3 linked regions of the Bombyx mori genome follow. The main gene of each other region encodes a partner of the protein of the gene in region 3 in a complex. Links are inferred from orthologs where the notes say so. Each region holds a gene or a part of one and is shown on either strand. Other genes may lie near its edges.

Region 1 (3,763 bases), on a different chromosome or scaffold from region 3:
TCAGCTTCTTTCGCCTCACGGTTTTCTTTTGCAATTCGTTTTTGTTTCTTTTTAGCTGGTTCATGTGTAAATATTTTATATGCAGGAATTTCACCATCTTTTATCATTTTCTGAAATGCAATGCTAGATATCTGATGAGAGTTTCAAAAATAGCAGAGTCAATTAAAGCTCGAATTGCTGTTAGCTGCAAAATGTTGCTGTTCGTTGAAAATATTTAGTATACTCCAATGATTCAAGAATTAGGGTTAATTAATAGTCAACACTAAAGCATCAATACAGTGAGGTCTAAAATTACAAAACCATCACTGTAACACCCCAAGAGTTTGATAAAAATGCCAATCACTTATAATGTGAAATGTTTTCATTCACTTGGTAAACATTTTTTTGTATTAGATGGTTTTAATTGATGTTAAAAGATAACCAGAACAAAGTGATTATGATCCGCATACAACTTGAGGTAAAAGTATTGGTTAATTCCAGTATTCTAATCCTGCAAGGACTATTCTTCAAAGAAAATGTGTATTAACAAAAAAACCATGTAGTAAAAATATATAACTAAGTATATTTTACATAATTAATAATGGTAGGGTGTAGGGTAAGCCCATATACCCACAAGAGAAGCTATCATCATCCCGTCTATATTTTCCATGTGGCAGCACTCTAGTATTCATATTATAATGTCTATATGCTCTGGTAATCACTTAATCCAGGTGCATGAACGCAGCTCATTCACCCTTGTAAGCAATAAAAAAACTTAATCAGAAGTTTCTTAACTTACAACACTCGAGTTTAATTATATTTTAGAATGATATGTTCATGTTCAGTCATGTACGAGTTGCTGTAATGAATGAAGTGTAGTTAATACAATTGTGTTATAATTATAATAGAACCAACAAAATTTTTAACTTTCGTACTTACTATGTATATTAACACATTACTATAGTTACGAAACTAATGTTCAGATGGTTATGTAATAAAAAATATACAAGTATAATAGTTGATTGAACGTTTTTGTACTTTATCACTTACATTGAGGATTTCCCTGATTCTCGGTTCATGTTCAGTTCTAGCAAATTGAACATGATCTGTAATGTAGTCCATGTCACCTTTACCAGTTAGATAGGCTTGTTTTAGATCATCCTTCTCTTCTTGTGAACCTATGGGAATAATACTAATAATTTCAGTATTAGATAATCAGTACAATTAGTGGAGTAAAAAAATATTTGCTTGTTCATATAATTATTATAGGTTGGTGAGGCTAGATCCAATAGTCACCCTGACCTATATTGATCTACTGTGACTACTCCAAAGGTTTAAATGTCTTCTAAAGTATGTCTATAAAATATACTGCCCAAATTCAGCAATAGCTGAATAGCTTTTCTTCTGCTGATTATCATGTGTTGTATACATGTGTTGATAAGTTGTTTCTGCCTCCCCAAAATAGCTGTAGACTGCATTAGTAGGGAATTTTAGGTTGCAACGAAACAATACAAGAGTTTAAGTTCATGGCATCGAAGTTAGTTGTTGATTTCTGGTTGTTATGGCTCTATGAGGTACATTAAATAAAATAAATCTATTTAAGCATTTTGTAGTCAAGAGCTCACCAGTATATTCTTTTTCATAAGCTTTTATGTCTTCTTCTGTAATTTTTTTGAATAAATGCCTCCAGTAGACTGTCCAGTCTTTGTCTACTAAGACATTAAAGTCATCATCATCAACACTCTTTGTTTCATCGTAAACTGCTCGTTTGTTTTTGTCGCTAAGTATTTCATGAATACTTCCAAGTACTTTGAACTTTTCTGTTGCCTCTAGTTTTTGATCTTCACTAACTCGATCAGGATGTACCTTTAGCGATAGTTTGTGGTAGGCCTTTTTCACTAAAATATGAAACATGGTTAAATACACAATACAAAATAGATTTGTAAGCAGTGTGAAGATTTTACGAAATTTAGTATGAATGACTTTTTTGTTGCTTTCTTACCTTCTTTTTCGCTAGCAGTTTCGGGTATTTGTAATACTTCATATAAATTTGATGAATTAAAATACTTTTCACATAAATCCAAGAGACCCATTTTGTGATTTTTTTATAATACAGTTATTAGCCCAAATAACCACGATTTCTTAAAGTTATAAGTTATTAGTATATATAGTGTAGTTGAAATATTATTCTTTCCTTGCTCGGAAGTATCAGGATCTTAGAAATTGTACATTGGTTAAAAAGTGTAACGAATATACTCCGAAATTGCGTTACCATACGTTCTGTTTCAGTTAATGACAAAATCAAAATAATGCGCGCGCGATTATTTTTTTAAGGGATTTTTTGACCTGGTAACTAAGATCTTTAAGTCATGTCTTATTTTAATTTATAATCTTATTTTTATGAAAAATGATAATATGGAGTGAAATTAAATGAAATTATATGAGATGAGATGCAATGGGATGAAATATAATCTTGGTAAAATGGTGGTCATTTACGGAGATTTTTTCAGTGGACTTTCGGAGGATCCTGAGAAGTTACGTCCAGCGGCTTTGTTTCATTTTCCCACATTTATGCACTTTCACAGATATTAAACATTTAATAAACCACCGTTATACGGTACACATTTAAACCTGAAGAAACACTAAATAGACAAAATAAAACAAATCACACAACTTCACTCCTCGCGTTCCCGCCAAAAAGTTTTTTGGTATCTAAGCTCATACAGCCTTATCTGTTCTTTATAATTTCTGAAATAAATTTTCAAAAAGACCGAGGCCAGGTCTTTTAGGTATATTATATCCAAATATACAGCAAGTTATATACAGACACTTATTATAAACAACTTACGGTTACTATTTATATACAAATCAAGACTAATGTACAAATATAAACAATTTTTACATTAAAATATTTTTTGTTGCAAAAAATTTACGTACATATCCTTCTCGCCAAGTCTCCCCGCCAAAAAGTCCTGCGTGCGCGATCTTAAATCTTATTCACAGACTACATAGTATAGAAACACAGATTAATATATTCGTTACTGCGTAGCATAGACATACTACGTAAGACTCCGTAAGATGCCCTACCTACAAGTGAACCTAGACCCAGATAAACTCAGACCTAGTACTTAACTGATGAGGATGACTGGTACATTAGGCCGGTTTCTTTCCAATGCCGAGGGCCTGACAAGGCAATGTACTGTCACGACATTGAAATGGTGCCGGTCGATCCGATTTAAGTGTCAACCGAGCGCGGATTAGTCTCGGTGCTACGCACGGGAGGTGTGGGCCAGATGATTTGCTCATCTTTCGGGTACCTAGTTCCCTCGCTTAAGGTGGCCGCGGGGCTTTTGTCAAGAGTGTCACTGCTATGGATCGCTATGGATGCGATCCGAAAAAGATAAAAAGATGCAAACAAATGGCTTAAAGTTATAAAATGTACGGTTTGCAAAATACCCTACTCTAAAATAATAGTTGAGTACTAGAATTTGAGGGTTATGAATTCGCATGGGTAGGTACCGCGCCCTACCTATTTCTGCCGTGAAGCAGTAATGCGTTTCGGTTTGAAGGGTAGGGCAGGGCAACCGTTGTACTATAAAAACTGAGGCTTTAGAACTCCTATCTCAAGTTGGTGGTGGCATTTACTTTGTATATGTCAATGGGCTCCGTTAACCACTTAATATCAGGTGGACCATGAGCTCGTCCACCCAAGAAAGCAATAAAAAAAGATAGTCAAAGTCGCAATCCGGAGATCATCAGGATAATGGACACGAATACTACTTAA
Region 2 (3,763 bases), on a different chromosome or scaffold from region 3:
GGAGGGGGAGGGGGGGGGGGGGTTAGGGCGGGGGATATTATCTTGTTGAACACCCAGTAAAACGAAGTCACTTTTTGATTCCTGATTTAATCAACAATATGATAACTTAATTCACTTTAACATTTATCCAACCTTAACCAGTACGTAAAACAGTCACTTAATCACACAATGTAACAAGGATATAGTAAGTGCACCGAGCAAACGCAGTCGGCCGGGGCACCTGGCTTATCTATGAGTCACTCCTGTTGCACGTGCTGTTTTACGAGTGGAGTGACACGGCCGGCGCACCTGGCTTGTGTATGACTCACTCCTATTGCACGTGCTGTATAACAGAAGTAACGTTAACGCCGTCATAGATATGTTACTGCTTATTATTTCTGTGTGTTAACACAACGTAACGACATTGGGAATGTCGTTGGTGTAGAGAGCGTAGAGGATCGGTGACAGGATACCTCCTTGGGGAACCCCAGCTGTGGCTGGGCGCATCCACGATTTAGCGCTCTTGACCGCGACAAAAAGAGTTCTGCCCTCCAGGTACGACCCCAGTAGTCGCACGTAGGCGTGCTGGAAGTCCGTGTTCTGCACCAACTTGCAGATAAGCCCCGCACGCCAGACACGGTTGAAGGCCTTCTCGAAATCGAGAAATACTGCCGCCATGTACTGGCGTGCGTTGGACCGTCAAAAGGTGCATAACGCAGACCAATTGCAGCGTTGTTGAGTGACTGCTACGTATCCAGAATTGCTCGGGTCTGAGAAGGATGTGCGGAGACACTCTTCTCACCAGCAGCCGCTCGAACAACTTGCCCACATACGACAACAGGGTAATCGGACGATAATTGGAGGGCTGTCTTCTGTCCTTCTAAATTCCCGGGAAATATCCTGTAGACAGAATGTAATTAAACAGCCGTGTCTTAAAAGACACGACTGATTCTAGAAAGTGGAAAAATGCAAGGGTGAGAATACCGTCCTCACACAATGCCTTGCGCCTCTTTATCCGCTTGATAAGGAGGCGCAATTCAGCGGGAATGATGAAATCATCATGTCCCAGAGGTGGCACCGGGAGGTTAGTTTGCACGTCGAACACTTTGTTGAGTTCGACGAGTACGGTTATCAGGGTCCCTAAGTCTGCTCCTAATGTTAAAGTTGAAAGCGTCTTTGCAAGAGTAATTGGATCTGATGGTCGACCCGATAAGGAGAGTGAGATTATTATTGGCTGTATTGCTACTAAGTGATTATCTGTAAAAAGTTACTTGTATGACTTAGCTCCCACTTCTAGAAAATTTTAATATCTTAAGATTAGGTTTTGGTATTATAGATTTAAAGATCAAGGCTTCTGTGATTTTCGAACTCATCCAAAAATGATGCGTATCCGATCATAAAATGTCAAATTTACTATCTGTCACAGTCTTGAGCTGTCACTCATCAAATTAATAACAACTTTCGCGCCAATGCCAAAAATGTTTTTATCTAAATTATTAAAGTATTTTGTTTGTTATCTCTCTCATTGTTAAGTAAATAAGTAACACACAATGTTCGCAGAAAAAGTTATAGAACTAATTAAAGAAGTAGATAGAAATCCTGACACAATAGATCAATATAATGTAAGTTGGATGTGCCCATCTAGGTATGGGATTGGAATTAGAATAAACTTGTTATATCTAATGAAAGCTTTAAGTTACTATTTAATACCGAAACCAAGATTTTATCCGGTTGTCATCTATTCTGTTTGTCTATGCATATGCACTATAAAGTCAGAAATCCATTTAGAAGTGACAAGTATATTAAATTATTGTTATAGCACCGCCTATTATTATTTTTGTGTCTTTTAATCTTATAAAGTACATAGTATTTCACATGTTACAGGATGAAAAAATACGCCAAATAATAGAAGAAATGCATTTATTATTTAAATTGAACATGAATGATGCGTAAGTCACTGGTTTTCTACTAATATAACTGCAAGTAGTTATTGTTCAATATGCAAGATTTGCTATGATCACTTCTATTCTGTAACCTCCTATTCTGTTTCATGTGATGCAAAAGTGCTCAGGTAACCTTGTAACTCCAGGAAGGTCTATTTTTGTTTTTTTTTGTCAATCTATTGCTACTAACCTCGAGGGGTTATGCTAGCTTCATGGGATTTGAGGTAGCCCTGAGATCTCTCACCCAATTATGCAAAAAAAAGTTTTATGACTTTTTTGTTTTATAACTCTTCACATTCAAGCAGTTTGGATAACTTGCCCAGCAGATTTGATAGCTTTACTGGTTGTGCTTGAGTAGCACAGATATCTCACCCAGCAGATTTGTTACAGCACTACGGTTATGTATCTGCTTAAAAATACTTTAGTGGACAGGCTTGGCTTCAATTTCTAACCAAATCTTAGCTCAGCTTATTGAGTTTTTTTACAGTGTAGTTGTTTTTTAATAATAGTACTAATTATTGTTTTTGGTATATAAAAAAAATAGAGAAATGTGTGTTTGTTTGTTGATCTTAAAGTACTTTTAAAATGTTTCTCTAATTTGGCCAAAATCGGTCTGAGTTGCTGGTCCGCACAAACGAAAACGTCATTTAGTGCAAAGGGGTTAATATTTTCATGCACTTGAGTCTCATGTGGTGTTGTAATAAGGTTACCTGCTATTAGTCCATTTTAATTTAAATTTCAAAAATATGTAGTTCAATTGCTCATCAAGTTCATTTATAGAAGAAGAAGATAACAACAAACTGTTTTATGATTACCGCTTGTATTAATTGAATTACTATTTTTAGTAATGCTACAACAGAAAACAGATCATTGTGGACCACAGTTCAAGTAAGACATTCTGCCCTTGAACGCAATAAAAGGTGTATATTAGCCTATCTCTACAACAGAATGAAAAAAATTAAGACATTACGTTGGGAATTTGGTGCAGTACTACCTCCAGATATCAGAGAATTGCTTTCTGATGATGAATATCAATGGTTTTCAAAATACTCTGGAAATCTTGCTTTGTATATGAGATCTTTAGGCCAAGATATAGGATACAGTGGCATAGACTTGACTGAAAATTTAAAGCCCCCTAAATCATTGTTCATCGAAGTGCTTTGTGTTGTGGATTATGGTAAATTAGAACTTGAAGATGGTGATGTGGTTATGCTTAAGAAGAATAGCAGACATTATCTTCCTACTTCGGAATGTCAGACTTTAATACGACAGGGTATTCTGAAACAAATAATGTGAATTTATTTTATCAATAGTGAATTTTTGACCATTTTATGTTTTAAATAATATTGTGAAAAATAATGTTTGATGTCTGTATGGAAATAAATTTTATGAGAAGATTATTTTTACCATAAGCTTAGTGATTTGACTTGATTAGATTTGCACCTCCTAATAAAGCAAGTGTGTGTCCATTTTTTTTACTATCCCTGATGGGTGAAAGAGCAGTCATAGTGGCCTAAAGAATATAATGCTTGCTGTAGTCAAATCAAATGATGCAACAATCAATATCATCATCAGCCCCGAGGTCTCCTAATATCAGACTTCAGACTTAGAACTTTTGTTTAGGTGTGTGGCAGCATTTGCGTTTTTGATATTTACGTGCCCTGTTAATGAGCTGGCATTGAAAAAAACTATTTTCTCAAAAAAGATACAGCGCAGTTTTTTTTTTTTTTTTTTCCTACCTATGATGGTAGCCTTGAGGGCTCAAACCTGATGACGTTGCTAACACGAACCCTAGCAAGAGCCGTGCTTCGCAGAATCTACCACCGGATCGGAAACGCGAC
Region 3 (2,666 bases):
GAAAATTTCGTTGTATTTTTTTTCTATTTCTTAGTACCAGAGGAACACTGCTCTTTTGAAATTTGTCCATCTTCAAACTGTGAAAATCGCGGGCGAATTCGCGGGTAATAATTGTAGTGTGTGCGTCTTAAGCGGTTTCACGGTTACAACGGTTAACCGCTCCCGGGAAAAAACCGTAGTGCGGCCTAGGTCTTAGACCTAGGGGGGTCACCGCACCTAACCCATAAACAGACCCCATTAAGTTTTCCGCCGGACCTTCTTAGTGGGTCGTGATTCCGATCCGGCAGTAAATGCATTCTCGAAGCAGCTGCCCTTGAGCTGTTAGGTCTTTTTCGTGGCGCATTTACGTTGTGGATGTCTATGGGCTCCAGTAACCGCTTAACACCAGGTGGGCTGTGAGCTCGTCCACCCATCTAAACAATAAAAAAAAACTAACGAACAGCAATTCATTTTTATATATATAGATTTAAAATGTGTAATGTGTGTGTGTCTCAGTGATCCGCATGTGCGAGGCTCACGCCCGCATGCACCTACGGAGCCAGGTCAGCGAGGAGGACGTGAACGTGGCCATCCGCACCATGCTGGAGAGCTTCGTCGACACGCAGAAGTACAGCGTCATGCGAGCCATGAGACAGGTCACACCGCGCACCATTCTCTACCTACATAGATTCGTTTTTGTGACGAAATCCCGATAGATTTTAACTTTTAATTACATCAATATTAATCTATATATTAATACGTGAAGCAAAAACTTTGTATCCCTTTTTACGAAACTTGCGCGGACGGAAGAGTATGAAATTTTCCACACTTATAGAGAATATAGAGAAGAAGTGCACAATGCTAATTTTGTTTTAAATAATGCATAAAAGATACATTAAATCAATAAAGAAAACATTACATTTGTATTTGACGCACACACGCATGCATACTATTTATTGTCAAACTTTTGTTCTTGACGTCTGTTGTCAAATTGAGAACAGATTAAATATTAATTGTCTTTGTTAATATTTTTTATAGTGTGGTCTTGGCGAAATTTGTGATTATAGAAGTATAGAATACAATCATAATAGTGTACAAACTTGCAATTCCAATTAATTATAGTCGAATTTCGACTACTGCGGGACCTCTAGTAATGTTTAAACCATGATTAAAGTCACAACGGACAGACTGTGATTGTACGTATTTTTACACCAGCGTGACTACAAAATATCTAGTATATTCATACTACTCTAGTCATACGTAATCACTAAACCAGTCGTGCATTCCGGTGCGTGTACAGCTGAATCTTTGTCCTCGTGTCTCCCAGTTGAACGTTTTGTGTTTATAGAATGTAATAAGTACGTGAAATACAAGTGTGGAACTCTGTGGAAATTACCACAAAAAATCTACAGCGGCACCCAAACTGCACCTTTCGTATGTCGCAACGTTAGAACTGAAGTGGTCTAACTAAAAATTTTTACGTATACCGCGAAAGACTTATGTAAACATGTATTCTTTAAGGCTTCGTCAAACAGAACGCGTAATTAACGCGCGTCAGAGCGCTAAACTGACGGCGCGCTATGACGCCGAGATGTGTTACTATCGACGAGATGTACTACTATGGTAATATACTGTCAAACAGCCCTAACGCCGCGACAGAGCGCTGCGTACTTATAGCGCTGGGGCTCTGTTTGACGGTATGTTACCATCGTAGTACAACACATCTCGGCGTCATAGCGCGGCGTTAGTTTAGCGCTCTGACGCGCGCTAATTACGCGTTCTGTTTGACGAAGCCTTAAAGTTTATAAAATACAGTTTTAGTCCAGAAAAGGAAAAACGTACTCTTTCCGTCTCTTTTAAATCAAAAGCTGCATACCTTATGGTATTAAATTTGAAAAACTAAAATATTATAATAATTCTTTAATTACATTTTTGGAGTTAGCCAAAAAATTAAAGTATTTTGAATCAAGCCACTTCAATTATAAAGGCAACGAACTAGATACGAAATGTTATTAACACTCAAAGGCAAAGTAGTTAATGAACGACTGTACAACCGCACGGATTTATTTAAAATAATTCGCATTTGTCTTACGCATGGAGGGTAGAGGTAAGGAGAACCGTCTCTGTGTGTAATAAGTGTCCCTTAAAATCTCCTAAATAAGGGTAAATTTAAAAAAGGCGCTGAAAATTATTAGAATATGATAGAGAAATAAAAAAGGACGAAAGAGCTGTAAGCACTACAAAATCATAAAAAATATGTTATTTAAAACTGATCAGAAAATGCAATCGATGTCTCCACGTTTTACCACTTTTTTTTTTTTTTCATGCTTAGATGTGTGAACGAGCTCACAGCCCACCTGGTGTTAAGTGGTGGTTACTAGAGCCCATAGACATCTACAACGTAAATCCGCCACCCACCTAGATATATAAGTTCTAAGGTCTCAGTATAGTTACAACGGCTGCCCCACCCTTCAATGCGAAACGCATTACTGCTTCACAGCAGAAATAGGCGGGGTGGTGGTACCTACCCGGGCGGACTCATAAGAGGTCCTACCACCAGTGAAAATTTTAGGTTATATTGACGAAATTAGTTTGGACTACGTAAACATGTGAGGTCTTGTATATTAATTACACTGTCACTAACTACTCTACTCATTAAATATATTAAATTTCCTAACTCAGCATAT

The links. Proteins that work in one complex are often made in the same cells at the same time.
Region 1: the proteins of DNA replication licensing factor Mcm2 (region 3) and DnaJ-10 are in contact, whole or in part, in a crystal structure (PDB 7CJ0), measured with the Homo sapiens proteins. The link is inferred for Bombyx mori from reciprocal best matches to the Homo sapiens genes MCM2 and DNAJC9. Residues at the interface, in NP_004517.2 of Homo sapiens: Glu65, Glu66, Glu67, Asp68, Glu104; in NP_056005.1 of Homo sapiens: Lys185, Arg189, Arg192, Lys244.
Region 2: DNA replication licensing factor Mcm2 (region 3) and DNA replication complex GINS protein PSF1 share a complex: the UniProt entries of both Homo sapiens proteins name them as parts of the CMG helicase complex. The link is inferred for Bombyx mori from reciprocal best matches to the Homo sapiens genes MCM2 and GINS1.

Annotation. Positions count from the first base shown.
Region 1 is NC_085115.1:6,238,653-6,242,415, forward strand, and holds the start of DnaJ-10 (dnaJ (Hsp40) homolog 10), read right to left. Parts: upstream 2,304-3,763; 5' UTR 2,073-2,303; coding exon 1,982-2,072; intron 1,878-1,981; coding exon 1,605-1,877; intron 1,158-1,604; coding exon 1,030-1,157; intron 111-1,029; coding exon 1-110.
Region 2 is NC_085118.1:17,161,126-17,164,888, reverse strand, and holds DNA replication complex GINS protein PSF1, read left to right. Parts: upstream 1-1,399; 5' UTR 1,400-1,529; coding exon 1,530-1,601; intron 1,602-1,863; coding exon 1,864-1,928; intron 1,929-2,767; coding exon 2,768-3,218; 3' UTR 3,219-3,334; downstream 3,335-3,763. UniProt on the Homo sapiens protein: Required for correct functioning of the GINS complex, a complex that plays an essential role in the initiation of DNA replication, and progression of DNA replication forks.
Region 3 is NC_085113.1:10,851,498-10,854,163, forward strand, and holds part of DNA replication licensing factor Mcm2, read left to right. Parts: intron 1-495; coding exon 496-635; intron 636-2,666. UniProt on the Homo sapiens protein: Acts as a component of the MCM2-7 complex (MCM complex) which is the replicative helicase essential for 'once per cell cycle' DNA replication initiation and elongation in eukaryotic cells.